7 linked regions of the Sus scrofa genome follow. The protein of the gene in region 7 interacts with the protein of the main gene of each other region in a pairwise test. Links are inferred from orthologs where the notes say so. Each region holds a gene or a part of one and is shown on either strand. Other genes may lie near its edges. The genes, in order: LASP1, CAMK1, ZNF488, TRIM38, EFEMP2, nuclear envelope pore membrane protein POM 121C-like and ATXN1.

Region 1 (3,500 bases), on a different chromosome or scaffold from region 7:
GCCTAAGTCTCTGGGACCCCAGAGCAGAGGCCGGAGGAGCAGGGGAACGGGAGCTGGGAGCTTTGCCAAGAATTTTCCCACCTGGGTATCTCACTGTCTGAGAGCAGCCACCTTTCAAACAATGCATTTGGCATCTGCTAAGGGCCAGGCCACCAACAGGGCTCTGCCCCACCTCTGGGAACAGGAGTGCAGGTGAGGTCCCATGCACACTGCCCCAGGTAGTTTAAAAACATACCCAGGGAGTTCCCTGGTGGCTCGGTGGGTTAAGGACCTGGCATTGACACTGTGGCAGTCAGGTCGCTGCTGTGGCGTGGATTCGACCCCTGGCCCGGGAATTTCCACATGCCTGCGGGTACAGATAAAAAAAGCAAAAACCAAAAAAAGAAAAAAATGATATTCCTGGTCTGCAATGATCTGTATTACTATAAACACTAGACTTTCTTTTTTTAAAGCTGTTGATGAATCTGCTTCCCAAGTTCAAGACAAAGAACAACTCCTGAGAGAAAAACCATCAGGTCCCACCTTCCAACTTCAGCAAAAATCTTGTGTTTAAGCCCCAGCTCTAGGAAATGTCCAAGAAAAACACATGAAACCCATCTGTGATCTTGGAGGCAGGCAAGATTCGAACGCCCTCTGACCCTCGCTGCCCTTGACATGGACTTGTCTCTGGGGGTCAGCTCAGCCTGTACCGTCCAGCCTCTGGTTTGCCTCTTCCAACTGTCCATCCATATTTTATTTTATTTTACTTTTTTGTCTTTTTAGGGCTGCACCTGCGGCACATGGAGGTTCCCAGGCGAGGGGTCTAATCGGAGCTGTTGCTGCCGGCCTACACCACAGCCATAGCAACACCAGATCCGAGCCGTGTCTACAGCTCATGGCAACGCCAGATCCTTAACCCACTGAGTAAGGCCAGAGATCGAACCCGCAACCTCACGGTTCCTAGTCGGATTCGTTTCTGCTGCTCCGCAACGGGAGCTCCCTGTCCATCCATTTTTGATCTCAGGGGGAACTTTCCAAAATGCAAACCTGATAATGCCACTCCCAGCTTTAAATCCTTCAGAGGCCCCTTATCTTCTTTAGCATGAAAATTCAGACTTTTGATCAAGCAGCAGAAACCAGCTCCATCAGCCCCGAAGGCTATGGGCTAAGAGGTCACAACCCTCAGGAAATGACTGCAGTGACCGCAGCCATTTCCCTTATCACCAGCTCTGCCTCTAATCTCTCGGGCCAACTGGCCACCACCTAGAGCTGCATCAGCCGAGTTTATCTCCCTGTTTCTGCCCTCGTCTTCTACTGCTGCTTCTCAACACGGCTGCTAGAGCCATCTTTTAAAAACACAAGTCAAACCCCTCGCCCTGCACAGCTCCCCAGTTCACAAAAGCCTTCCTGTGGCCTCCAAGTCCCTGTAGGATGGGACCTCACCTCCCCACCGGCTTCCCCTCCCTAGTCACCCTGGCCCTCCTGCTGATCCTGGAACTTTCCTAGAACACTGCTGCCTCAGGGCCTTTGCACTTGCTGGCCTTCTCCACCACTCAATCCTTTCCTGAGAACTGTCATTCTCTCCCCTCACCCGGCTGTCTTTTTCTTCACGGCTTATCTCTGACCTTTCGTTACTTCTGCTTATCTATTGCTTTCATGTTTGTCTCCCAGACTGGATGTAAGCTCCAAGAGGCCGAGAAGGAGGACTTTCTTCAGAGCCAAATCCCTCATGTTCAGGGTGGACTTAGTGAGTATCTGAAGGACTGGCTGGTCCATCCGGAACCTCATCCTTCAGATGCTCCCTTGGGCCCGCCTGACACCCCAGATACTGATAAGGGCTGGAGTAGGATCATTACACAGGTAGTTGTAGGAGTCCCAATAAGGGACCGAACATAGATAGAGAAACCTAAGGAACGTTGGGAGATCACTGTAAGTTAATAATTGCTCAAAAAAGCCATGAGAACAAGGCAGGATTGCCTGACTAGTGGCGGGGAGGGATAGGCCTGAGGTCACTGGGTGGAGGATGGAGCGAGACCTGCATTCAGGCTCAGACTAAGGGCAGGAATTTAAAGACAATCCTTGTGCAAATGTGAATAAGCGCCAAGACTGTTCTAGTTTAAGCTTATAGGGTCAAACACTCGCTTACCAGATACCAAGGAGGAGCTACTACTTGAAAGATGAAGAGGCAGTCTTTTCCCACCCCAGTCCCTTGGATTGTAAAACTGCAGCGCACCTAATCCTCGGGGCAGAGCCTCGTTGCCTGCCCACTGGCATCTCTCACAGGGTCCTACCTTAACAAATCTATTTCTTGCCTGTCACTTTGCCTCTCGCTGAATTCCTTCTGCGCTGAGGCACAAAGAACCTGACCCTCAGTGAGGCCAAACGCCAGGTGAGTGATTCTAATTTAAAAACTGTTGGCTGGAGTTCCCATCGTGGCTCAGCTGAAACGAATCTGACCAGTATCCATGAGGAAGCAGGTTCGATCCCTGGCCTTGCTCAGTGGGTTAAGGATCTGCCATGGCCGGGAGCTGTGGTGTAGGTCAGACACAGCTCGGACCCAGCATTGCTGTGGCTGTGGCGTAGCCTGGGACCCCTAGCCTGGGAGCTGCCATACGATGTGAGTGTGGCCCGGCCCAGGCCAGGGCTCTGCCCACTACTCCGCGCTTCCTCTCTGCTCAAGAGGCTGAGACCCTTATCACCTGCAGATGTCAGAGGAGCTGGGGTCAAAGGTCAGGGGAAGCTGGCTGGGCCTCTGGGTTTTCCAAGTCTAGGAAGCCTTTCCCTAAACCTAGCCACCTCCCCCAGCTCCCCTCCCCCTGACCTCGACCAGGGCTACTCACCCCGCCCCCTCCTGGGGCGCTGCGCTGTATGGAAACTGGGGCTGCAGGCTCCTTGTAGCCACCATAGGACTGGGCCGCCTGCTGCTGCTGGGGCTGCTGGTAAACTGGAAGACAGCAGGAGACAGGCGCAGACACTAAGACAGTGTCCAAACCCAGCCCCTCCCAGAGCCCCCTCCCTTCCTGCATGAAGCCTATGACCGCCCCCCAACCCTGCCCAACCCCCACTTCTCAAGGCTTCTGCCTCTGAGCACATTTGCTGGTGTCCCTACCCTGCAGCAGTGGCTGTGTCGCCCCCCCATTGCACTGGGGTCCAGCACAGGCCCTGACCCTCAGCCCTCAGTAGGGATGGGACCTGGGTGTGTGTGTGTGTGTGTGTCTCACCTCCTGCCCACCCTGTGGCCAGCCTGGGTGTGTGTGTGTGTGTGTGTGTGTGTGTGTGTGTGTCTCACCTCCTGCCCACCCTGTGGCCAGCCTGGCCTCAGGTCCTCAGACCCCGCAGGCCTTGCGCTCACCTGGGGTGCTGGTCGGGATGTGATGAGGCTGCTGCTGCTCCTGGGGCCGCCGGTAGCTGGTGTCCTGGGCATCTCGGCGCTCGGGCTCCAGGCCCTCACCCCCGCTGGGGCCCATGCGGCTCTTCTCAAACTCCTCGTGGTATTTTATCTGCAGGGGCAGAAAGTGCTG
Region 2 (4,090 bases), on a different chromosome or scaffold from region 7:
AAGTCTAGCTGTCATATTTTGAACCCCGGTGGTACTCCAGGCACGTCACATCCATTATCCCACAGAATTCTCAGGAAAATTCTGAGTCAGTCATCAATATTCCATATTCCAAATGAAGAAATTGAGGCTAAGAGAGGTAAAGTGTGACTCAGAAAAGTTAGTCTCTAAAGCCTTTCTAGGAACCTCTTCCTCTCTCATTGTAGAATGGGCACAATAACCTGACCACCTTCGGACACAGTCCTGAGGTTAAGACAGGGAAAAGCCAATTGAAAATGAGATTGAGCTAAGCATTGTCCTCTCCCTATCTGCAGCTGTAAAATGCAGGAATTCAAGATTGAGGAGCGGCCATGAGGTGGAGTGGGGGGTCCCCAGAAACGTGCCTCCTCCGGCTGGCTCCAGTCCAGCCCCACCCCTTCTTTCTGGGAGTTGCTCCCTCAGTCCCTTCTCCCCAAGGAAGGCCTTGCTCAAGAGGACACAGACCAGGTCTTTTGGCCCCTTGCCCGCCGCCCCAGAGCGGTTTTGGGCTTCCTCTCCCAACCTGGCCCTGAGCCAAAGGCCGCTGGCGCCAGCCCAGTCACGTGGTCCTCTTTGGCCCGCTTCCACGAGGATCCAGATTTAACTCTCCCCCCTCCCCCTTCCCTCCCCGCCCCAGTCCCTCTGGGCACCACACCCGATCTGGCCCGCAGGTGTAGGGAATTAGAGCATCAGCTCTGCAGGTGTGGAGAATTAGAGCCTTAGCTCTGCCTCAGAGAGGGACCTCAGTTTTCCCGCAAGTCAAATGGGATCCCCACCCTAAGACTGTCTCAATTCTCTTCATCACCTACCCTTGCCTTGTCCTTTCCGAACGGCCCCAGGCCTCCACTCCTCTCAGTCTCTAGAGCTCTTCCCTGGGCCTAATTCCCAGGGGCGGACAGGGGCAGGGAGAGTAGGACAGCGCCCAACCCTAAGGGAGCTCCCAGAACTGGTCTGAAAGAAACTCCTAGAGATAGGGCGAAAATGGCCAGCTTCCGGCATCAGACAGACTTGTGTTCGAATTCGACTCTGCTTCTGACCAACTGACTTTGAGCGCTTCATCTCTCTGTGCCTCAGTTGTTCCTACTGTGAAACGGGGACCCAGCCTGATGACGAAGGATGAAAAGAACCCAGCGGAGGATCTGACCTGCACGAAGGGCGGCCGCTGTTAACTCCTGACCTCTCGCCCCTTTCCCAGCCCGGGAGCGGAGCCTCACCTCCCAGTCCCCAGTCCCTCCGTCGCAGGCTCCTCCTCCACTGACATCAGAGCCGCAGGCGGGCGGAGGGAGCCAGCCGAGTCCGAACCAAGCCCCAGCGAGAGAGCCGGCGGCGGGGCCAGGCGCGCAGCAGCGGCGGGCGGCGGACGGCGGCCAGCGGCCAGCGGCCAGAGCCCAGCACCAGGCACCTCCGGCCTCCCAGCCAGCCCCGCGGCGGGGCAGCCGCAGGTACAAGCCCAAAGCCGCGCCGCCCGACCCTGGGCGCAGCCGCTGGATACCCTCCCCCAAGGATGGAAAGGGGAGCCCGGGCGTGCCGGACTCTAGATGGGCAGGGCCGGGCCTCACTCCCCAACCTCTGCCCCAGGCCCAGCAGGTGCCGGTGGGAAACTGAGTGGGTAAAAGAGGAAGGTGGGGAAGGGATGTGTGTGCGTGCGTGTCTGCCTTCAGCTGGGCCTGAATGTGGAAGGACTGGGCATTTGGAGGTATGGATGTGTTGGGATATGAGAGTGACTTAGCTTTGGCAAGGGGCTTCAGATATGAAGTTGCAGCATGTTGGTGTATAAGGGTATCCGTGCGGATGTCTGGGAGTCAGTGCTTTTGTTGCAGATATATGTCCAGGTGTTGTGGTGTGCTGGTATCCAGCTCAAAAGGGCAGTAAGTCAGAGTTGGGGACGTATACAGTTGTGTGCTGACCATGTTTGGAGTTAGGAGTATAAGGATTTGCAGTTGAAGAGCTTCTAGGATAAAGGTATGAATGAATCTGGGATGTCTGGTATACAGGTGAGTGTGTGTGTCTGCCTGTCTGGGTGTCATCAAGGTGTGTATGGATGTGTGTTTTGGGGTATGAGAGGGATGTTTGGGTGTGAGGATGTCTGGGGGAGTGTGTGTTTGGATGTGTGTGCTGACGTCCGGGTGTACATGTGTGATCAAGTGTCAGAGTAACTGGGGATGGCGTGTGCTGGAGGCAGGTGTTTGGGTTCAGGGGTGTGGGTGGCTTTTGATGTGAAACTGTGAGGTTCATATCTGCCAGGCTTCCAGGTGGGTTTAAAATTCTGCCTCTACAGCTTACCACCAAGTCTCCTTTCCTAGAAGTTTCTGCCCCTTGGGATTGGTGGCCAGGCCCCCTTGGGAACATGTCCCATCCAAAGAGTGGAATCCCACACTAGGAGCTCTAATCAGGGCACCTTCCCCTCATTTTTTCCCATGGAGGAAAAAGAGAAGGAAAGGGCCCTCCCTGAGGACACACAGTACACTGAGCTCTGTTTTGGCTTCACTCTCTGTGGACCTGGGATGGGATTGAGAGGCTGTGTTCTCTGGATGGGTCCTAGTCTGGCTGCAGTGCCTTCCTAGGTCTTTGCCTCCAGCAGTCTTTGCTGGGGCCCAGCTAGGGGTCATTGAGCAACTCTGGATCCAAACCCTATCCATCACCAACCTTCGTCTCCCCATTCTTCATCTGATAAATGGGGAGAGCTCACCCTCTACTACTGGTTAGAGTCTCCGTGGTGGTGAGGTCTCAGTGGTGAAAAGTATAGGCTGGATCAGGATGAGATGAAGCCAGGAAGGGACAGGTTGGGTGGGACAATTTCTCAGGTTGCTGGGATCCAGATGGGGAGTCAGAAGGGAGAGGGGGTAATAAGAGGCCTGGGGAGCTCCAGCTGTGGCTGCTGTTGCTGTGGTAACAGTGTGGAAGGAGCTATTTAAAAAACGTGGCAGAGATATTGCTGGAAGCCCAGGCTGCCGGAAACCTGATTTCCAAGAGGCCTGGCAGGGAGAAGGGGGAGGGAGAGGAGACACCCCAGCAATTCTGAGGGTGGGGCTGGGACATCACTGGTTCTGGGACAAGGGGATCCTCCAGGGCAGTGCGTTTCTACAAGCTGCTCTGGGGTCTTCTCTGCACTTCTCCCAGAGATCAGTGTGCCCCTAAGCGTTTGGATTTAGAGAGGGAGAAACTGGGAGGTGAGCTGAATTAATGAATGAATGAGTGACTTTGTTGAATAAAGAATTTTGCTGCCACCCTGAGGGATTTTCCTCTAAGCATAGGGCGTGCTGCATAGGTGTTGAAAGAACAAATGGCTGTGAATGAATGTTTGCTGAATGACTTTGTCTAATGAATGATCAAGGAATGATTCAGTGTGGGCTGAGTGACTGAACAGGAGCCCCCAAGCAAGTTCCTACAAAGATGGGGGCCCCACTGAGTCTTCTTCCATTCTCCTTCCTAGGAGCCCTGGCTGTGGTTGGGGGGCAGTGGACCATGCCGGGGCAGTGGAAGCCCCACCTGGAAGCAGGCGGAGGATATTAGAGACATTTACGACTTCCGTGATGTTCTAGGAACGTGAGTCTCAGGGTGGGAGTGAAGGGGCGGCTGTCCCTGAGATGGGAGGTGGGGTTGGGAAGGCCCTTACCCCTGGGCCTGGAGGGGCTGAGGCCAGGGCGGTGCTTCCTCTGGCCAGTTGATCACTGCTTCCTGTTTCTTGCAGCCCAGGCCCTATGGTAGCATTGCCTGGCCCAGACTGGCCTTGGCTTTTCACTTCTGGCTGACGGTGGGTGGGAACTGAGGCGGCTCTTGCCAGAGTTCTAGGTTCCTGTGATGAGAATGAAGGAGCCACTTTTTCAAACTTGCTGCCAAGAACTGGGGGTTCTAACCTAGGTTTTAGAACTGAGGCTGGGCATGGCTGCCCACAATGGTGGGAATCCAGAAATAACTCAAACCTGATCTTTGCCCCTCACATTGATCCCAAACATGTGAGGGAGACAGACCCACGTAAGATGACAACAGGTGTGTGCTCTGCTCCAGCTAAAGTCATGAATGAGGACTTTGTTGAGCCCAGAGAGAGCAGAGACTTCTGTGTGGGGATAAACTT
Region 3 (4,008 bases), on a different chromosome or scaffold from region 7:
GAAGCAAGAACTCTTTGCAAACAACTGGACAACCTCATGTCCCTGAGACGTCTGCAGATCCACACCACCCCAAGTTAGCTGGCCAGCATCCAGCTGTTCCAAGCTGAAGTTCACAAACCAGATCTTACTCAGTGATACCATCTATACTAACAGCCAGCATCTTTCTGTATCTTCCTTCCTTTCAGCTAAAACAAACCAGAACAGAAAAAAACCTCATGCCCCTCAATACTTGGGTTTCCCTAGAATTGGGAGCTTCTTTTGGGGAAGATTTCTGGGGATAATCATCCAACCAACTCTTCCATGTGTGGATTGTGAGGTACTGCGTTTTCCATATATTTTCAAGGCATCTGCCTCGCCTGGAACCCAAGAAAATCAGAAATGTCAGAGTTGTCCAGTCCTTCCTGGAGGCTAGCTGGTGGTGCCATGACACTGGGGAAGAGGAGGACTTCCCAGCTGGCCCTCAAAGGCTCCATGTCCAGCCGTGCCTACACCCCTCTAGCAGCAATTCCTGCTATGTCCACAAAACCAAACGCAGGATCCCCAGGATGTAGCCAGTTCCCAGGCCCACAGAGAGGTCAGCTTCAGTCCTAACACAGCTTGGCCACATGGACCAATTCCAGATCAGCCTTCAGGGGAAAAGTCTATGGTTTATATGAAAGACTGCCCAGCCAGACTCTGAAGTAGCATCGTGGACTAGAAAAAAGGGAAGATACATCCTATTGACGAAAGAAAAGAAATTACAAAGCACTAAAGCACTGTAGCTCAAGACTTAGCCCTGTATCAAAACAAAAAAAAAAAAAACAACAAAAAACCACACACAAAAAAACTAATGAGATTATTTATTTCAAGGAAAAGCTGTCACCTCCTAGATTTTTGAAAAAGACCTCTGCTGAGCAAAGACATGAGAGTTCTAAATCATTGGAAAAGCATCCCTTCCTTCTCCCCCCACCAAAGCTAACCCATGGAAAGTTACTGGTTAAATGATGTAAAAGACAATTTAACTCTTCAATCCAGAGAGCAGTCTCCCCCCAAAAAAAGTGCATGCTACACCTATGAATTTGTCCAACATACTTTGATATAAAGTGGAAAAAAAATTCTTTCAACCAACACTGAAATCTTCTTCCATCATTCTTAATTTTGGCTAATTCTGTGTGATTTATCTATTGGCAAATTTTCCTTTGCACATCAACTGAAAAGTTAAATCAGCTGAATTATCACTAAAAATCACAACAAATTCAAAAGATGGATTAATTATAAGAAGAACAAAAAGCTTCAAGTGTTGGGCAGTGATTAGCAGCTTTAAAAACAAACAAGTTTTCTTTTTACAACTTAAGTGTGTATACAGTATGTGTATATGTGTGTTTGAACACATAGCTATATATGCCATACAAATATTAAATAAGGAAATCATGTCTCTCTGGCAAGATTAAATTTTTAAGAAATGAAAAAAATTACTTTAATATACAATACCTTCTACTGTATTCCTCAAAAACTAATCAAATTTGTTTTTCTATATTTCTTAAGTTTGTGTCTAAGGCAATCCTTGATATTAAGATGAAGCATTTTCACTGTGTGAAAACATTAATTTTAAATGCCACAATAATTGTAATAAGAAGTTTGAATCATTCAACAATGATTGTGAAATCAAATTTTGCATACCAACAGCACTGACAAGTATAGATATACTTTAGAAATTTACAGTTGATTGCTTATTTCAACTCTCACCCTTGCATATGTAAAGCCTTGGTCACCCTATTGTCTTCCCCAAACTGAGGTGTTTTTGTTTTTTTTTTTCCGTTAAAGCTGACCAAACCGCGTTTTAAATGCCACCCTCACTCTCCCCACCGACTTGGCTTTTGCACTGCCTCCACAGAAGGATGGTGTGGCCCCATGTCCCTTAAATGTTCCTGCAAGATTTAGCTTCCTGGTGCTGGCTGTGTCTATTACTAAAGGCAAAATGCTAAGAAAAGGATTCCATAAATGCCTTGTCTTTAAAATTTTCAGTGCACTCTGAAAACTCAGAGATTTTTCAACTTGACCCTTTATGTATTTTTCCCACAATAGGCATTGAACAGGTAACACACCCAGATCTTTGGATAGAATCTGTTGCAGATGCACCGTTATTACCCTAGTGCCCAGCACAAGCCCTGGCTGAAAATAATGGAGCAGCACACCGTGAGTGAAGGGGTGGATGGAGGAATTAAAATAATTGCAGCTCAAAAAGTCAACCTATGATAAATAAATAAATATATATATATATATTCAAGGTTTAATTCTTGCTGAGGGGAAGGAAAGGAGGAAGAAGGTGGGAGGAGAGAGACGGAGACAGAAGAGGAAAGAGAAAGGGAAGGATAGGGAAATCGGTAATAAAAAAATGGACAGGAAAAAGTGAGACAGATGAGAGATAAATACAGGAAGAGATAAAAGACAAAAGACAGAGGCAGAGGGAAGGGTCAGGAGTAGCACAGGAGGGGAAAAAAAAAAAAAAGGAGAGATGGAGAAAGCTGGTAACAGCGGGAGGGCAACAACCGGGCAGTCAAAGGCAGGACTGAGAACTTGCCCTGGGGAAAGGACCGTAGAAATGAGATGACTCCCGACCCCCGCGCCCACTCGCGGCCCTGTCCCGGAGGGCAGGACAGTGGGTCTCACCTCGGCTCTCCTGCGGCGCTGGGCACTGGGGACGCGCTGGGGACGCGCTGGCAGCCACGGCCGCCTGCAGGTCAGAGGCGCCTCGCAAGGGTCGGAACTTGGCGCGCGAGCCCTGGGGGCTGGCCGGACCCCGCCTTCCCGAGCCGCTCCCGCCTCTGGGGCGGAGCCTCGGGCGCCGCCCCGCCCCTGGGGGCCCAGGGGCCTTCGGGGAGGGGCCTGCGAGTGGGCTGAAACCGCCGAGAGGGGCGCTGAGGAGACGCGCTTCCTGGACAACGCCGGCCAGAGGCCCCGAACGCGAGGGCGAGCGCCGGTTTCGCGACCTCTCGGCGGAGCCTGGCCCTCCCACGAACTCAGCTCGGAAGACCCAGGCCCTGCGTCCCACTGGCTCCGGCCTCGCTCGGCGCCTCCCAGCTGAGGGACCGAGGAGGGTGCCCTGACTCGGGCCGCTCCACAGTGCGCTCAGCCGCCGCTGCCTTTGGAGGTGGCGTCTGGGCCACAGCGGAGGCTGCACTTGCCGCTGTTCACTCGCCCCCTGCGCCGCGACTTCTTCCTTTTTGGGTCAGTGGGACCCGGGCGACAGCCAGATTCCTCAGATGGTCCGTGCCTTGCAGCTGCGGATCCTCCGTGCGTTGCCCAGCTCCCAGGACTTTCCTCCCCGTCCAGGCTGAGCGCCGCGGGAGCTCCATCTTTGTGGCGCCCTGAGAGTCTCCCAGACTTCGCTGGAGCAGAGCCTCGGCCTCTTTGCCTTTCCTGGCCCTCCTAAGTTCTGAAATGGCAGCATTGTGCCAAGTAATGGTGAGTTCTGTGACTTCACAGAATGCGAAGGTGTCAGGGAATTTACCTGCCCATGGAGGCTGGGACAGGCCAGGGCCTGAAGGGTGGCGACGGGAGGGAATGCCTTCTGAGTGGCTACATTCAGGCCAGGGCTTGGCCCACGTAGGACTTTCCCCTGTAAGGAGGATGAGGGGAGATGGACGTGGAGTCTCAGGAGTTATTGCAGTGGCAGCCAGGAGAATGGCTCCCATTCAGTTTAGCAGATTAGAGAGGGGAAGAGAGACTCCTAGAGGAACTGAGTCCCTGTTCCTTCCTTTCTTCCTTAACTCAGTAAATGTTCTGGATGCCCTTGAGGGGAGAGAGTGTGGGGATACAAGGTGATAAAGCTCTGTGCTTTTCCTCAAGGTTAGGGAGCATCTTCACACAGATAAGATTGTAAAGGAACAAAATTATGATGAGTCTGAGGTGCAAAAGATGAGATTCAGAATAGACATTAAAGCTCTGGATAATGGTCCCCAAAGCAAACTTTTCTTCTATGAGGAGAGCCCATTAATGAATATGAATGTGAGAAATCAAATCCCTAAT
Region 4 (4,047 bases), about 8.0 Mb from region 7:
CTGGGTCCAGAGTCGCATCCACAACAATGAAAGTCGTGCGAATCTGCACAGAGTCTGCATTGGGTCAGGATTCGGGGTCTCATTCTTTCTCTTCCGTCTGCATGCTGGCTGCCTTGGGAGTAGATGTGTCCTGTACCATGTGTGGGGCCAGCTACCACAGGACATGCCAGGGCACTGTGAGTCACCTGGTGGCAAAACGGCCAAAGGCTCTGTGAACAGCCAGGAGGATGCAGTGCTGAAGAGAGACTCCTGTTTGGGTGGGAAGAGAGGAAGCTGTTTCACAATTTTGCCTCCAGCCTGAGCTGCTGAACCAGCAGGACTGTGGCTGCATCAAGTTCCCCCCAGTCTCCAGCTGCAGGTCCAATGCCCTTAGCACAGACCATGAACTTCCAGGGTCAGCAACTGACCCACCCAGCCAGGGGCCCAGGACCCAGAGTTCATCCCAGGCAGCTCTCAGAATCCAAACTTAACTTCTCCTGCCTGTGTCCTTAGCCATCCTTACTGGCTCCCCTGGGCCACTGCATGTATTTATTTCCTAAGCAAACACTGTGCACTTATCACAAATACCTCTTACACCTAAGGTTATGCATGTGGCAAGGTCTTATTTTGAGTTAGTTTTTTCACATTAAATAATAACTCTAAATTGGGTGGGCCCAGTATTTTTGCTTCTATTTTGAACTGGAGAGGCTGGAGCTGAGGCACTAAGTACTCAACCCTAGACCCCCAGAGAGCACTGAGCAATGCTCCCAGCTCACATGGCTCTCAGCTGAGGCCACTAACTGCTGGGCCATTAGTGGTTCCGTTTGCTGTCCTTGGTGCCCAACTCTGACTGTTGATAAGGATGAGAATCTTTCACAGGGACACTGAGGAGGCAGATGAGACAGGGTATCAGGGCAAAGAATGGGAGACTGCCTGGAGAAATTTTCTGCCATCAATGAGCCCCATTATGGTACCACCCCTTTTTTTTCACCACATCCTTCAGAGCAGTTATAAAACAACAAGCAGCCTAAAAATAGCAAAACGTAACATCAGCCAGGGAGGTTATGAATCCCAAGGGGTTTGGTGGCAAAAGCAGAAAGATCTCAAGTCAGAGTCTGTGAACTCTGCAGACTTCCTGGGTTTAGATCCTCTGTGCTAGAGTCACAAAAGAACTTCCTGAATTACCAATCCATCCCTTTTACTGCTGTAAAAAAAAAAAAAAAAAAAAAAAAAATTTCTTTAGCATCTCCCCTCCCTTTCAGCATAAGCAGAGTGCAAAAGAGATGGGCACATTTTCACTGGTTTCCTCCTCAGCTGGGCAGAGCTCCGCCTCCCACAGTAGTTTCACTTCTGAGTTTCTGTAGCCTGCGTGAACTTCCTGGCTGCTACGGAGGGATCTAGCAGAGAGTGTGTGACTATCTGTGGTGACGGGAGTGGAAAAGGTCCAGGCCCAGGTTTTCTTGGCGGAGGGCTAGGAGACATGTGCATGTGAGTGTGTGGTGGTGGGCGGCCGCGGGGTGGGTAGGGGTTGTTTTCTGAGAACAGAGCCTGCTGGAACTCTGAAAATGGCCAGGCCTTGGCTTCAGAGCTCTCACACCCTGTCTGCTTTCTCCTTTCCCACCCTCCACATCCAGTCTCAGAAGATCCAGGGTGTGAGGTGAGTGAAGGCCCAAGACAGGCACCCTTGGGCCTCAGAGGAGGGGAGGTAGGTCCTTCTCCCCAGGAGCACAGTATCCCTGGCAGAGAGGAGCCTAGTGGACCTTCTGGGCGAGATAACCTGCCAAAGAACAGATGTCTCTGGAAGAAATTCTCTGTGGCTCCATGAGCCCGGTTCTACTTATTAGAGGGAAATGGCCTCTCCAGTAACTTTGGCTGAATCCCTGCTCTTAATTCTGGTACTGTCACTTCAAAAGAAAGGTCACTCTCTAAACTTCCTCCAGCCTCCACTGCCCTCCCTGACCAACTGCCAGGAGTAGGCAAGCAGGGAGCAGGGCTGGGGTCCCGAAGCAGCTGCAGCAGTGGGTAAAGGGCTGACTTCTTCACTCCTGTTCCCTCCTCCAAAGTCTCTGGGTTGTCGGGTCCTCATTGAAGGACACCAGGGGTCCAGCACCCAGGGTCCCACAGAGGCCCTACCTTCCCCATCTGCTTCCTATGTCCCCACATCCTGGCTTCTGCAAACTCCCGTGCTCCAGTCACCCTGCAGTTCTCCTGAGAGTCAGGTCCTGCTCTGGAGAAGCAACAGTTAACCTCCCTAGCTCTCCAGGAACTCTGCTACCCATAACCAACCCCTTCTCTTCCCCCTTTTTTTTCTTTTTAGGGACGCATCCCCGGCATATGGAAGCTCCCAGGCTAGGGATTGAATTGGAGCTGCAGCTGCCTGCCTAGGCCACAGCCACAGCAATGCAGAATCTGAGCTGCGTCTGCAAACTATACCACAGCTCATGGCAACGCCAAATCCTTAACCCACTGAGTGAGGCCAGGGATCGGACCCATACCCTCATGGATACTAGTTGTGTTCTTAACCTGCTGAGCCACAAACGGAACTCCCCCAGCTTTTTCTAATTCTCTTTCTGTCAGGTCAGGGAGGGCTAATAGAGTTCCCTGGTTCTTCTGGATGTCTTTTTTACTTTCACTATCATCCTGATTGTGTCTCCACTGGGGATTTTATTAAGCTGGTGTCTATGGTTCTTTGTGGGTAAGAGTGGGAGTTTAATTAGAGTCAAATTGGATTGTTTCAATGGAATCTTCATAGACCACCCAGTTACCTAAGTGTCATTACCAGTTACAAAGAAATAATTCTGGTACTAGTTATTCTCAACCTTTATTAGAGTGGGAAAGAGTCTGACAGTCCCTCACTGAGTTCTCTCTCTTGCTGCAACTTTGCTGAGGAGGCCTACCTTGTCTCTCTCTCTCAGCACTTAGTCCAAGAAAACTTTTCACAATGATGGAATGTTCCATATCTGGGCTATCTTAGCTATCCATCACCTGCAGCTATTAAATAACTGAAATGTGGCTAGTGGGTGTGAGAAAGGAATTTTTAATTCTATTTAATTGTAATTAATTTAAATAGCCACAGGTAATAATGGCTACCATACTCCACAACAAAGCTACATTGTACACATTTTCTAAATTCCAATCTATTCCTTTTCTCTAGAAAGAAGACCTCATGACCTGTGGAGGCCAGTGGTAGCCAGTGCATCACAGAGGCTCAGGTGAGGTAATTTCTGAACATGGTGGGAAAATTCTGGCTGCTTCTTCTCTGCCTCTAAATCCAATATTGGAGCTTTTCAGGAAAAGCCATGGCCTCAACCACAACCACCAGGAAGATGAGGGAGGAAGCCACTTGCTCCATCTGCCTGCACCTCATGTCTAAGCCGGTGAGCATCAGCTGTGGACACAGCTACTGCCACTCGTGCATTGTGAACTTCTTTGAGAATCTCTGCCGAATGCAGCCATGGCTGGAGACATTCTCCTGTCCCCAGTGTCGGGTGCCATTTAAAATGTCAAGCCTCCGACCCAACGTGCAGCTGGGAGGCCTCATTGAAGCCATCAAGGAGATGGACCAGGAAATGTCATGTGAGGAACATGGAGAGAAGCTCCATCTGTTCTGTGAGAATGAAGGCAAGCTCATCTGCTGGCGCTGTGATCGGGGACCACAGCACAGAGGGCACGCCACAACTCTGGTGGAAGACGCGTGCCAAGGCTACAAGGTAAGTGGTGGGCCAGAGGGGTTTGGCAAGTACCTGGCCTCATGTTGCCCCTCACCCCACTCTGAGACCTGAGATTATTTAGCCTGAAACCCAAGATCAGGATCCTAGAATAAAGTTTTCATCATGTCATTCTTATGAGGGGTCCTCACTGAATCTGGTCCTAATGGTCTATCCTGACCGGAATGGTCAGACTCTTGTCCCTAGCCAGTCTCACTTTGATGACCTTCTCCCTGCCCTGATTGCCATGTGCTCCAACACCCACATGCATGTCCTATTGCCTCACACTCTGTATGTAATCTGGGAAACCACAATGTACAAGACCATGGGATAGAGTCTGAAAACACAGGGGACAAAGACA
Region 5 (4,127 bases), on a different chromosome or scaffold from region 7:
GCACAAATAAGAATCTGCTGGTCTGGAGTCCCTGGGATATCGGCACCCCTACCCTGGGAGACCCCATGTCAGGGAAGCAGAGGAAATAAGGCCCTGTCCATGCTCCCAGGAACACTGATTGATTCCAGAACCTTCTTCTGAGGCCTATAGCACCCAGGAGTGGGGTGCAAACCAGGAAAGGGGAAGAGGCTGACAGCGAGCGCTCCCGCGGTGCACCTGCAGTGATCAAAAGGAGGATCCCGGAAGCTGGCTGGGCATGGGACGGGAGCTGGGCAGGCCCCCCACAGTGAGGATCTGGACAAGGGGCTGGATATTATTATGCCAGCGGCCCCGAGGAAGCTTTTTATTTTTTTATTTATTTATTTTATTTATTTATTTATTTATTTTGTCTTTTTTGTTGTTGTTGCTATTTCTTGGGCCACTTCCGCGGCATATGGAGGTTCCCAGGCTAGGGGTTGAATTGGGGCTGTAGCCACCGGCCTACGACGCCAGAGCCACAGCAACGCGGGATCCGAGCTGCGTCTGCAACCTACACCACAGCTCACGGCAACGCCGGATCTTTAACCCACTGAGCAAGGGCAGGGACCGAACCCGCAACCTCATGGTTCCTAGTCGGATTCGTTAACCACTGCGCCACGACGGGAACTCCCCCGAGGAAGCTTTTGAGCCAGGGAGGAACATGAGCTGTGAGTTTTTAAAATGCAGTGATAGACACTTGATAGAAGGATTGGAAGCCTCAGCACCAGGGCAACCGACCCTCACTCACCCACGCAGTTCTCTTGCTCATCCGGTTCATAGCCTGGTAGGCAGGGGGTGGCGTGTTCAGCAGGGGACACTGGTGGTGGTGGTCCCTCGCCATGCAGGTCATTGATGACAGCCGCCGAGCGGGGCAGGCACAAGTAGCCCCCGTAGTGGTTGATACATTTCATTTCCCCCTTGCAGGCCTCGGGGATGGTCAGGCATTCATTGACATCTGCGGAGAGGGGCCTGCTGGGCACAGCCAGTCTCCTGGGCTGGCCACGGAGGGGGTGGGCGGCAGGAGCCCAGTGCAGCCTCCTCTAAGCTGCGTGACCCAGGAAGGGCCTTCCCACTCTCCTCAGCTAAGGCTGCCTGCCCAGGACCACTTCCCAGTGCCACCAGGGCTGGTGGCAGGCTGGCTCTTGCTCCACTCACTTCCATTCTCTTATCCCCAAGAGGGTCTCTATGCCGCCCCAGAGCCCTGGTCCCAACTCAGCCCAAGAGTGAGGTGCAGGCCTTCTCGCCCACCCCCGCAGACGCTGCCCTCCCAGGTCACGATGGCACGAAGCTGGGTGGGAAAGTGATTAGAGGAGGTGGCCAGGAACCATGCCTCTGGGCAGCGCCCTGTTGGTCTCTGGACTCCTGGGGGGTGGGAGGAGGCTGTCCCATGTTTTTCTGAGAGGGAGGGGCCTGGATGGCTTCTCCACCCCCAGCTAAGCTGGCCCCCTGAGAACCAGAGCTGGCCACGGCCAGGCAGAGCTGGGCAGGGGACAGGCCACTGACTCCCACAGCAGCTCTCCGTGCTGGAGTTGCAATCCACTTCCTGGTGCTCCAAGCATACTCACCCCGGCAGTGCTGGCTGTCGGGGTCCCACTCATAGCCATCTGTGCATTCCTACAGGGGGACCAGAGGTGGCCAGTGGTCACCCCCTCTCCTCTAACTGACCAGGCCAAGACCAGAGCCCAAGCTTGGCCACCCTCCCCGCCTGCTCCAAACAACAGCTCCAGCTGCTCCACGGACCAGGGGAGGGGAGAACCTGCCCCAGCAGCAGCCACCCCAGGATCCTGGTCTTGGTGTCCCTGCCCAGCCCAGCCCAGGCCAGGGGCTCCACTGTCCCCACCGTGTAGCTGTCGGGCTCCTCCGAATCCTGGGGAGACGCTGCCCCCAAGAGCAACAGCAGCAGCGTCCAGAGCAGTAGAGACCCGGGGAGGCAGGAGGCGAAGGGGAGCATCCTGGGGCTGGGAGGTAGTGAGTGGGGGTCAGGGCGTCTGGGCCACGGATCCCCCATTGCCCGAACCAGGACTCAGAGACCTGGTCCCCGACACCACCCGCCCGGGACTGTGTCTGGGGCTTCGGAGCCTCCCAGGGCCGGGGGTCGACTGATCACGCAGGCCGGGGTTCAGGGCCCACCCGCCCCGGGTCGCCCCGCCCCCGCCCGGTCCCCCAGTGGCTCGGGCCGAGGAGCGCAGGCCTCTGGCTCGGTGCTGACGCCGCCGACTCGGCCGAGACTCTGGCTGGCGCCCTCCCCCCATGGACGGCCACTCACTTGGGCCCGTGACGGCCCGGAGGCCCGCGGCTCCGGCGGCTCGGCTGGCTCCGGTAGTGCCTGCGGGAGACGGACAGGCGGACAGCGCAGCTCCCTGGACGCGCGGCCCCAGGAAGCGCCCCCCGCCCGCCTGCCGCGGCGCGGCCCACCCCGGCGCCTCCGCCCGCCCCTCGGCGGATTCCTGAGCCCGCGCCAGGGGGAGGGACCCCGACCCCCGCTTCTCCGCCCCCGGCCGGCCACAGGCCCCACCCGGTCCCCCGCGGCGCCGCCCGGAGCCGCCTCCCGGCGCCAGGCCAGGGTCCCTTAGCACAGGATCCTGGGGCATTGACCCTGATGTCAAGCCCCCAACTCACTCTGGAGCCCCCAGGCTCTCAGTTTGTGCACCCAAAAATGTCATCCTGCGCACCTAGACCTTACCTAATCTGCACCCCTGGAATTCCTGTGCACCCACATCTTAATGCCAGGGACCCAGACTCTGCGCCTCCCAGAATGTCATCCTGGGCCCTTAGACTCCACCTAACCCTGGAACTTGCAGATCCTCCTCACTCTGCGCCACCAGAGTGTTATTCTGTGCACCCGGACAGTTATTCTGGAAATACCACAACCGCAACTTCATCCAGGGTCCCCAGACCCTCGCCCTGAGAAGAGAGACGCTCCCAGGTCCAGAACCGTCCAGTTCTGTCCCTTCTCCCTTCCATCCCCGGGACTGTCTTCAGCCAGGCGGTCCCTTCACTCCAGGACGGCCTCCCCCGGGCCCTCAGTCCCTGAGGCTACATCAGTTTGGGGCGGGGGCGGCAGTTCACTTTTGGCTCAGAATGAATGGAAGCCCCTGAGAAGTCGAGCAGGGCTGAACTCGGGCGTGCAGGGCTCCAGGGTCCGGGGCCATCACCTTCCTGGCCATCTTCCTACCAATGTCTCCCCCGCACACACCCCACCTCCCTGCCCCGGGCTGTCTGCCTCTTTTCCCAGGGAGACGGAGCGCCTTAAGGGGAGGAGATTGGGCGGAGCTGGCTCCCAGGAAGGGGCGTGGTCTCGCCCTGCCCACGTCTCAGGGCGGGGCCAGACGGGAAAGGGCTGCGTGTCCAGGGAACCCCTGCCTGGAGGCAGATGGCCAGCAGGAACTGTTAAGCCCTTTCCCACCCCAAGTGGTCCTCATAATCGCCCCCTATAGCAGCCCCGCCCGAGGGGGGTGTGTGAAGGAGAGGACATTCCAGGGGGTCCTGAGGTGACCCTTTCGGGTTCAGGGTGAAATGGAGAGCTCCTACCTCCCCTTCCCCCACATCCTCTAAGCAGCCCCCTCTCCCCGCATCCCTGGGGTGAGGGCGGGGGAGGAGGCTAAAAATAATAACTCCTTAAAACCAAAAAGACAGACAATAACAAGTGTCGGGGATGTTAAGGAGAAATTGAAACCTTGAAACGGTCATACACTGTGGGTGGGAATGTAAAGTGGGAGGACTCCTGGGGAAAACAGTCTGGCAGGTTCTCAAAATGTGAACACATGCCCCAGTGATGTCCCGCCTAGGTATACGCCCGGGGCATTGAAAACGTATGTCCACACCAAAAGCCTGTGCACGATGGTCATAGCAACACTAGTCATAAGAACCAAAATACAGGAGTTCCCCTCATGGCTCAGCAGTTAACAAACCCAACTAGCATCCATGAGGTCCTGGGTTTGATCCCTGGCCTTGCTCAGTGGGTTAAGGATCTGGCATTACGTGAGCTGTGGTGTAGGTCAAAGACGTGGCTCAGATCTGGTGTTGCTGTGGTTCTGGCATAGACCAGCAGCTACAGCTCTGATTGGACCCCTAGCCTGGGAACCTCCATGTGCCATGGATGCAGCCGG
Region 6 (3,237 bases), on a different chromosome or scaffold from region 7:
GTCAGAAATAACGGCAAGGAAAGAAACTAATAAACAGAGTGATTAAATGAATCCATAATGAAATATAAAGTTAATAAAACCATAACTGGTGTTTGCGTTGAAGATTGTGATATGGAGGATTTCCCATCGTGGCTCAGTGGTTAAGGAATCCGACAAGGAAGCATGAGGTTGCGGGTGTGATCTCTGGCCTTGCTCAGTGAGTTAAGGATCCAGCATTGCTGTGAGTGTGGTGTAGGTCACAGACTCGGCTTGGATCTGGCAGTTCCTGTGGCTCTGGCAGAGGCTGGCGGCTACAGGTCCAACAAGCCACCTAGCCTGGGAGCACCATATGCCACAGGAGGAGACCTAGAAGCGGCAAAAAGGAAAAAAAAAAAAAAAAAAGGGTAAAATGGAATCCTAAAATAAATAAATACGAAACATTCATATCAACATTAAACCATTTTATTTATATTATTTCTAAAAGGACAGAGACATTTAAGCGGTATAAAATATTAACTAGATATGTTTGTTACATTTTTAAATAGCAGTCTTCAAACGAAAAACGGCAGGTTCCATACATACATTTACTGCTGCTGTCTCACAAAATTACCCAAAAACTTAAAGGAAACATTAAAAGGGAATGATTCCGTAAGAACAAAGTTAATGGATAAAAGGGTAACAATGACAGTCACATTTTGCAATCAAAAGTATACTAAAAGAAAAAACTGTAAACTCATGGAGCAATTCTGAAAATGCCTAGCAGGGGGGACAGTGCCAACAGGTAGTCCAAAGCTGCATGCTCTTGTAACGCAGAAGTATTCAAGAACTGGAAGCACTGTATACATTTGAAAATGAGGCTCACACTGTAGCTGAAAGTCAGACTGGTTGTACCTTTTGAGGAGAAACCTTTTTTCCCGTATTTCCTTGCAATCCTCAGAAGAGCAGAATAATATTTTGGTCTCCTGGGGGTTCCTGGACCAAGGGTCCTGCCTGGGGAACTGAGGCAAGCTAGCTCAGAGGACTAACCTGAGAGGGTCTGCCTTATGTAAGGTGTAGGCAGAAGCCTGATTTCTAGGCCTGTGCCCCACCCCCCTCTCGTCCTGGCAGATGTTCCAGGTTCAGGTCCCTCCTCAGCTCCACACACAACAGCCAGGAGTCGAGTTCCAGGTTCAGGTCCCTCCTCAGCTCCACACACAACAGCCAGGAGTCGAGCTCTCCAGGAGTCGAGCTGTCCAGCAGACAGTCACCCTCAGTCAAAATGGGCAGGGGGACTCCTTACACCTCCGTCACATTTATAAAATAAGAATGACATTTTGTGCTTCCAGCAGAAGCTCCAGGCCCTCGGAAAGGCTGCCTGGGACAGCATTTGAGCCTCTTCTTCACACAGGCATTACTGAACTATACAGCTAATTTCTAGTCTATAGTCTATAGTCTTTAACCACCTCAATGAACCAAGCTTGAAGGAATTTAAAAGGCAATTTAGCTTAAACACAAAAATAACTATTTTATCTGGTTGGAAATGTTTAAGGATGTTTTTCTTTTCACTTCGACACACGCACTCATGCTTCTCCCAAAGAGGATAGGCGTGGCAGCCAGGCTCTTGGGCCTGGGGTACGTGGTTTTGGAAAAAAGGAAGAAGAAAGGAAGGGGCGGGGGGAGTAAGATACGGTTTTAAAATGTTGCTTATTACTTAAACGCTTTCTAACTTATACGATGGGTGATCTAGCCTGCCATGAGGTTAGGTAGATGGGCAAAGAAAAAAAGTGGCCCCATCCACCTAGGCCGCCAGCCCTGAAGGTCAAAACACCAACTGAAAAGTCAAGACTCAGCACTTGGAGCCATCAAGTGGTGCTACTTTCCACATTCAAATAGCGAGGCCCCAGAAACTTAAACAGTTCCGTCCAGCATTACCAACGTGCCGCCACTCATACAATTCAATTATTCCATCAATCTCGACTCTAAGAGCAATGGACATGAGCATCCGATAAAGTAATACAGAATAAGGCTTAAACATGTGATCCCGGGGAGGTAGATAAGTCCAGTGAGGCCAACAGGGAAGGTGGACAAGGAGGCAGCTGAAAGCAGTGGTGGGCATCCTGCCTGTTCCAAGAGCTTCCCTCTCCCAGAGTGACAGGTCACCCCTCCATCTGCCAGGCTAACAGTCCTGAGCCACCAAGCTCGTGGGGGCCAAACTGGCAGAGAGGGTTGGCGATGAAACAGAGGCTCCGACTTGAGGAGCAGCACCCACTGGGGTATCCAAGGCAAAGCTAGACTCAGGATCATTTCAAAAGGAATTGATCCTGCAAGCAGTCGGTGACAGACAAAGCAGCAGGAATGGAGACACTGAGTCCTCTAATGGGACAAGATGGGGAGACGCACCTTGCATAGCCAAGCCAAGCAAGGTAAAGCTATAGGGATAAGCGCTTCCCCCAAGCCCATCAAATGCATATCAGAGATGCAAGGGGTGAGGTCTCTACCTGCCACTCTCCAGCAGAGCTGGCTCTCAGGGAAACGCTGGCAAGGGAGCTGCCTCACTAAGCGTATATACCACGCGAGCCTCAGGGAAGGAAGCAGGCTTCCTTGTTCAGCTGTTTCCTCAGTTCTCGCCAGCCTCACCAGTGCAACTGTTCAAGTAAGGTCACAGGCTTCGGCCCGGCCACCCTTCCTGCCTTCCCATCCCCCCAGAGGCCTCGGCCTTCTGCTTCCTGCAAGACAGGGAGCAGCCTCTGCACCTGCCACTCCTCCTCCCCGCCCCATGGCTGAAGCAGGACTGGTTCAGAGATCTCAGCTTCATGGAACGAGAAGGTGAGAGGCTCTTTCTGGCAGGTGCCAAGGTCCAGTTGTTGGCAGGAGGGGTAAAGGGGAGTGGGAGGGGGGGTAAGGGCCAGGGGCTACTTCTTGCTAGTGTGCTGCCTCCGGGCCTGTAGCTGTTGCCAAGCCCCTGGGGGCTTGGGTCCCGCACCAATGGAAAAGGAAGGTCCTTTTCTAACAAAGCCCTGGATGGGTGTTGAGGACGCCCCAAAGGAGAGGCTGCTGCCTGATGTGCCCACCCCAGGGCCAGGGGTGCTCTGACCAAAGGTGGGCGTGGAGGCGCCTCCAAACACAGGTTGGCTCTCTGCACTGCAGGCCACATTGAGGCCAAAGGATGTGTTCTGGCTGGGTGCACCCAGGCTCTTCTGACTCAAGCCTCCCACAAAAGGAGTCGTGCTGCCAGCGGTCCCACTCTGTCCTGCTCCGGAGCCAAAGGCTCCTGAGGCA
Region 7 (4,081 bases):
CATGTGTCCATTATTTTTCTAATGGACCACTCTGGTATAAATAATGAGGCTGGGGAGGTGCAGGAATTAGTTCTAAGAACTAATTGGAGACCTTAAGATCCTGGCATGACTCTGCAGTAGTGGAGTAGATAACTGGGTTATTTTTTTTTTAACCTTCCTGAGATTTCCCCCTTGCAGTGTATAACATGGACCTTAACCTTTGTTAAAATGATCTCTGAGAGTAAGCTGGTGGTGAAGGAATAATCTCCTGGGTAGATCTGGCATGGGCCCACAAAATAGAAATTTATTAGATTTGTCTGTTAGACTAAAAATTTGTTAGATCTGGTGTGGGTTTTTTTTTGGGGGGGGGAGAAGGGGAGAGAGGATCCCAGACACTGTGCCACCCTGGGAAGCTGATGGAAAGCTATGTATTCTGGAGTTATAGCTGGATTTGCAGCTTGTGGCTGAATGGTTGGGGGTGTTACCTTTTAATGACAGATGGCTTTGGGCATGAATAATGAAAAGTATACAGTTGCTGCTTAACTAGAAAACAAATCAAGGCCACCAAAAGGAAATCTGTCTTTTTTTTTATATATAACACTTTCTCATATACTTAGTCTAATAGGACACGTCAAAAGGAAATGAGATGATTTTTAACCATTATTATTTATTTTTCAAGCAAGACCTAGATAAATTTTCGTCAATGTAACTACAACCAAGACTGAATGTAATGTAATGACCTATGAAATAACAGAATTTATGGTTTTAATCATCTATAGGACATAGCCCTTCTTACAGGAAAAGAAAATGAACAACAGTTTGAGGCTTAGAATGAGTGAGTTGAACTTTGCCTGGTATTGGCTGGGAGCATTTGGAAATCTATTAAAAGCATTTCATTAACATCTTGGCATTTTGTTTCCTCAAAAGAAATACATTTTCCAAATTAAAATCAAAGCCCAAAGCCACCACTGTTTACACTTTAAGATGATGGCAGTTGATGGGTTGTAGGGGTTAAGCTTAGGGTGTCTGCAGACTGAGATCAGGGGCTACAACGGACTGAAAGAAACAAAACAAAACACATCAAACTGTTTGGGAAAGAGGGAAGGTCTTTGTGACTCTAACTACAGGATATTAAAATATCTAGCTGTAAGCTCTGTCGGTTTGTTTTTCTTGAGTCACCCATCAGCTAGGAAAACTGACCCACAGGAGGGTCCGAGTTTAAGACAATTATTTTATGAGGAATTTACCAAGTTTACCCCAAAGAGGAAGAGTTAGAGAAGAGGCACTGGCCAAGTTTGCTTTTGGACACAAAGAGGAAACTGTGTGTCAGGATTTCAGCGGGGGTTGTCAGGCAGTTTGATATTTGCAGAACCCCTGTGGGCCAGGCCTCTCCAAAGTTTAAGGGCTGGAGTCTCCAGGGAGCTCTCAAGCTGACTGGCGATCAGGGCTTGCTTTGTGCCCTGGCACAGGCTGAAACGATGCTCCTGCGGCAGATGCGTTCTGACAGCGCAGAATAATGGCCCTCAGCCTTAAACTGTAAATTACAAACAATCCCTTTTTAAGTACAAAATGAATGCGCAGAATGGAAGACCCTGTCAGCTAGAATGCGGAGTAAATCAAGAAGAAGAAGACAAATTGTTCACTCATACCAGTACAGCCAGATTTTTGTTCTGCTAACCGGACTGTCATGGGAGAGCGTTTCTTCTTTGTCAGATAAAAAGAGAAATTAATGCTCCGTTGTAATTCTAATAAATATGCCAGGCATCTGAAGCATCTCCTCCGAAAGCCAATCAAGAGGCAAGGTGAGGTTTCCCGACCCCTCCCCCCTGCCTCGGGTTTGAAAGTTGTAGCCGAAATACCAATAGTAGGAACACGTGACCCCCGTCACTCCCAGCGCGAGCTTTTTCTGCAGTCAATTTCATAATTACTTCGCTCCGCCTCTCTGCTCAGCACTTCCTTCCCCCTCCCTCTCGTCGCTCCCCCACCCCCAGCAATGAATCACCGTGCATTTAAAGAGCCTTCGATGACCCAGTGTGAACTTTACTGGCATCTTGTACATTCTTATGCCAAAAAAGGGGAGTCTCTCTGTGACAGGAACCTAGCCAGAACCCCGCAGCAGATCTCAGAGGCAGCAAGCTTGGGTGCTTATCTGGGAAGATCGGTGAGGGTTAATTTTCCTAGATCCTGGTGATGATTCAGAATTGCCTATCTCGGTTCACGATCAGGTTTTAAAAACCCAGTTCAGCTCTTTGTGCAGCAAGGAATATATCAGAGAAAAAAATGTTGGCAGATCTCCTTATGCAATCAGGGCAGAGGAATTTATACCACATCAGCCTTTTGATTTCTCCAGCTCTGGCTGAGGGTGGGGTTTCCATATTTGTGCTTTGGCAAATGTGCCCAAGAATGAAGTCTTCCTTAGAGATGCTGCTCTCCTGTCTCTTTAGGTTACTGTGTGCTTCTGTGTGCATTTATTAAAACCAGCAACATGTTTGCCCCTTCCTGTATTTAATCCTGTTTCTGAGTAATACAGATCAAGCAGACGGTCTGCGCCTTGCCTTGAGAGGTTGTTCACCCTATTTCAGGCAGTAAAGGGTGGATCACTGAAGTGACACTGGGCCTTTGGCATATACTTTCTCTCTATCTGGGAAGTCCTCCTTTACATGGCGATTTTATCCTCATCCTCCGAGATCCAGCTCAGGCACCAACCCTTCCGTGGAGTCTTTCCTGATTATCACAAGAATTTGCGGCTCTGCCCAATGTGTGAGTCAGAGAAGTGCTATTTTCTTATTCTTTTTATTTATACAGTATTTTTTTTAACTCTGAGAGGGAAAAAAAAAAAAAATCAAGGCCATAAGCACAGATGGAGAGCGTATCCCAAGTGAAAGCTTCTCTTATCTAATATTTCCTGTTACTCCCAAATCCATTTGACCTCCACTTAGAATTTCACATGTAACTGTTTTCCTTTTATTGCTCCATTTATGTGTTTTCCCCCACAGGTGGGCTCTCAGGGTAAGTTCCTGTTGCCCTCTGTTGTGGGTGGAGTTGTGCTCCCCTGAAAGATATGTTGAAGTCCTTGCACCCTAGGAAAGTGAGTGACTTTATCTGGAATTAAGATGTAATTAGTTAAGATGTCTTACCAGATGAGGGTGGTCCCTAAATCCCACCTGACCGCTATTCTCCTAAGACCGGGGGACACAGGGAAGGGGAAGAAGGCCCTGCGAAGACAGGCCGAGATGGAAGTGATTTAGCCACAAGCCAAGGAAAGCCAAGACTGGCCAGCAATCACCAGGAGCTGGAAGAGGCAAGGAAGAATTCTTCCTTAGCGCTTCAGAGGGAGCAAGGCCCTGCAAGGCCCGATGCCTTGATTTGGGGCCTCTCTCCTCCCAAACTGTAAGAGTACATTTCTCTTGTTTTAAGCCACCCTGTTTGTGGTCACTTGTCATAGCAGCCCCATACACCCTCTTTATTCCATCTGTTGCATTCTTCCTTCTTCTCTTTATTTACATCTAGGGCCTTATCTCTTTCCTCTATGGATACACACAGGTGATCACTTCTGGATGCATATGTGTTTGGTCCTTTACCCATGACAACGGCCATAAACAAAAGTTTCAGTAGAATAGGAAAATTGTCAAGAGAGTTCTAGAACCACTTCCCCATCCTCCCAGAAACACCTGGCTTCTAGCCAGAAGCACAGAGGTTGCTAGAGGCTGGAGAGAAGGCAGTGTCCAGCCCTGGGCCTCAGCTCAGAGGTCTTCCGGAGGCCTTCTCAGCTCCCTCTATTGGTGCCAGGATGCACCAGCAGCTCTGCTCTTCAGAAGTGGCATTTCAGCCTGTGGAGTTGGGGTGGGGGTGAGGAAAAGACTAAAAAAACTAAATGAACTGTTTGGCACAGAGGAGGAAATACAACCCCCGAACTGATGCTTTTTTTAAACTGTGCATTTGAGTCTTACAAAAGTACTTGTGAAAACCTCAGTCTTTCCGAGCCTCATCTTTCAAAGCACAGCCGGGAGCTCATTTGTTTCAAGAGGTTTTCCCCAGCAGGTAGAAGGAAGCCTTACACTCAAGCCCACACTCCCAAGGCAGCTGTTCTCTCCGAGTCACT

The links.
Region 1: the proteins of ATXN1 (region 7) and LASP1 interact in binary tests that used the Homo sapiens proteins (3 or more experiments, as listed by UniProt). The link is inferred for Sus scrofa from reciprocal best matches to the Homo sapiens genes ATXN1 and LASP1.
Region 2: the proteins of ATXN1 (region 7) and CAMK1 interact in binary tests that used the Homo sapiens proteins (3 or more experiments, as listed by UniProt). The link is inferred for Sus scrofa from reciprocal best matches to the Homo sapiens genes ATXN1 and CAMK1.
Region 3: the proteins of ATXN1 (region 7) and ZNF488 interact in binary tests that used the Homo sapiens proteins (3 or more experiments, as listed by UniProt). The link is inferred for Sus scrofa from reciprocal best matches to the Homo sapiens genes ATXN1 and ZNF488.
Region 4: the proteins of ATXN1 (region 7) and TRIM38 interact in binary tests that used the Homo sapiens proteins (3 or more experiments, as listed by UniProt). The link is inferred for Sus scrofa from reciprocal best matches to the Homo sapiens genes ATXN1 and TRIM38.
Region 5: the proteins of ATXN1 (region 7) and EFEMP2 interact in binary tests that used the Homo sapiens proteins (3 or more experiments, as listed by UniProt). The link is inferred for Sus scrofa from reciprocal best matches to the Homo sapiens genes ATXN1 and EFEMP2.
Region 6: the proteins of ATXN1 (region 7) and nuclear envelope pore membrane protein POM 121C-like interact in binary tests that used the Homo sapiens proteins (3 or more experiments, as listed by UniProt). The link is inferred for Sus scrofa from reciprocal best matches to the Homo sapiens genes ATXN1 and POM121.

Annotation. Positions count from the first base shown.
Region 1 is NC_010454.4:23,225,710-23,229,209, forward strand, and holds part of LASP1 (LIM and SH3 domain protein 1), read right to left. Parts: intron 3,480-3,500; coding exon 3,332-3,479; intron 2,924-3,331; coding exon 2,820-2,923; intron 1-2,819. UniProt on the Homo sapiens protein: Plays an important role in the regulation of dynamic actin-based, cytoskeletal activities.
Region 2 is NC_010455.5:66,052,491-66,056,580, reverse strand, and holds the start of CAMK1 (calcium/calmodulin-dependent protein kinase type 1), read left to right. Parts: upstream 1-1,290; 5' UTR 1,291-1,457; intron 1,458-1,495; exon of another isoform or gene 1,496-1,602; intron 1,603-3,448; 5' UTR 3,449-3,480; coding exon of another isoform or gene 3,481-3,487; 5' UTR 3,488-3,489; coding exon of another isoform or gene 3,490-3,495; 5' UTR 3,496-3,497; coding exon of another isoform or gene 3,498-3,561; intron 3,562-4,090. UniProt on the Homo sapiens protein: Calcium/calmodulin-dependent protein kinase that operates in the calcium-triggered CaMKK-CaMK1 signaling cascade and, upon calcium influx, regulates transcription activators activity, cell cycle, hormone production, cell differentiation, actin filament organization and neurite outgrowth.
Region 3 is NC_010456.5:88,472,914-88,476,921, reverse strand, and holds the start of ZNF488 (zinc finger protein 488), read right to left. Parts: upstream 2,801-4,008; 5' UTR 2,650-2,800; intron 1-2,649. UniProt on the Homo sapiens protein: Transcriptional repressor. Plays a role in oligodendrocyte differentiation, together with OLIG2. Mediates Notch signaling-activated formation of oligodendrocyte precursors.
Region 4 is NC_010449.5:20,681,289-20,685,335, forward strand, and holds the start of TRIM38 (E3 ubiquitin-protein ligase TRIM38), read left to right. Parts: upstream 1-1,247; 5' UTR 1,248-1,467; intron 1,468-3,133; 5' UTR 3,134-3,278; coding exon 3,279-3,689; intron 3,690-4,047. UniProt on the Homo sapiens protein: E3 ubiquitin-protein and E3 SUMO-protein ligase that acts as a regulator of innate immunity. Acts as a negative regulator of type I interferon IFN-beta production by catalyzing 'Lys-48'-linked polyubiquitination of AZI2/NAP1, leading to its degradation.
Region 5 is NC_010444.4:6,453,828-6,457,954, reverse strand, and holds the start of EFEMP2 (EGF-containing fibulin-like extracellular matrix protein 2), read right to left. Parts: upstream 2,801-4,127; 5' UTR 2,702-2,800; intron 2,345-2,701; 5' UTR 2,285-2,344; intron 1,977-2,284; 5' UTR 1,970-1,976; coding exon 1,859-1,969; intron 1,633-1,858; coding exon 1,584-1,632; intron 974-1,583; coding exon 767-973; intron 1-766. UniProt on the Homo sapiens protein: Plays a crucial role in elastic fiber formation in tissue, and in the formation of ultrastructural connections between elastic laminae and smooth muscle cells in the aorta, therefore participates in terminal differentiation and maturation of smooth muscle cell (SMC) and in the mechanical properties and wall integrity maintenance of the aorta.
Region 6 is NW_018085157.1:64,930-68,166, reverse strand, and holds the end of nuclear envelope pore membrane protein POM 121C-like, read right to left. Parts: coding exon 2,871-3,237; 3' UTR 501-2,870; downstream 1-500. UniProt on the Homo sapiens protein: Essential component of the nuclear pore complex (NPC). The repeat-containing domain may be involved in anchoring components of the pore complex to the pore membrane. When overexpressed in cells induces the formation of cytoplasmic annulate lamellae (AL).
Region 7 is NC_010449.5:12,728,051-12,732,131, forward strand, and holds the start of ATXN1 (ataxin-1), read right to left. Parts: upstream 2,801-4,081; 5' UTR 1-2,800. UniProt on the Homo sapiens protein: Chromatin-binding factor that repress Notch signaling in the absence of Notch intracellular domain by acting as a CBF1 corepressor. Binds to the HEY promoter and might assist, along with NCOR2, RBPJ-mediated repression. Binds RNA in vitro.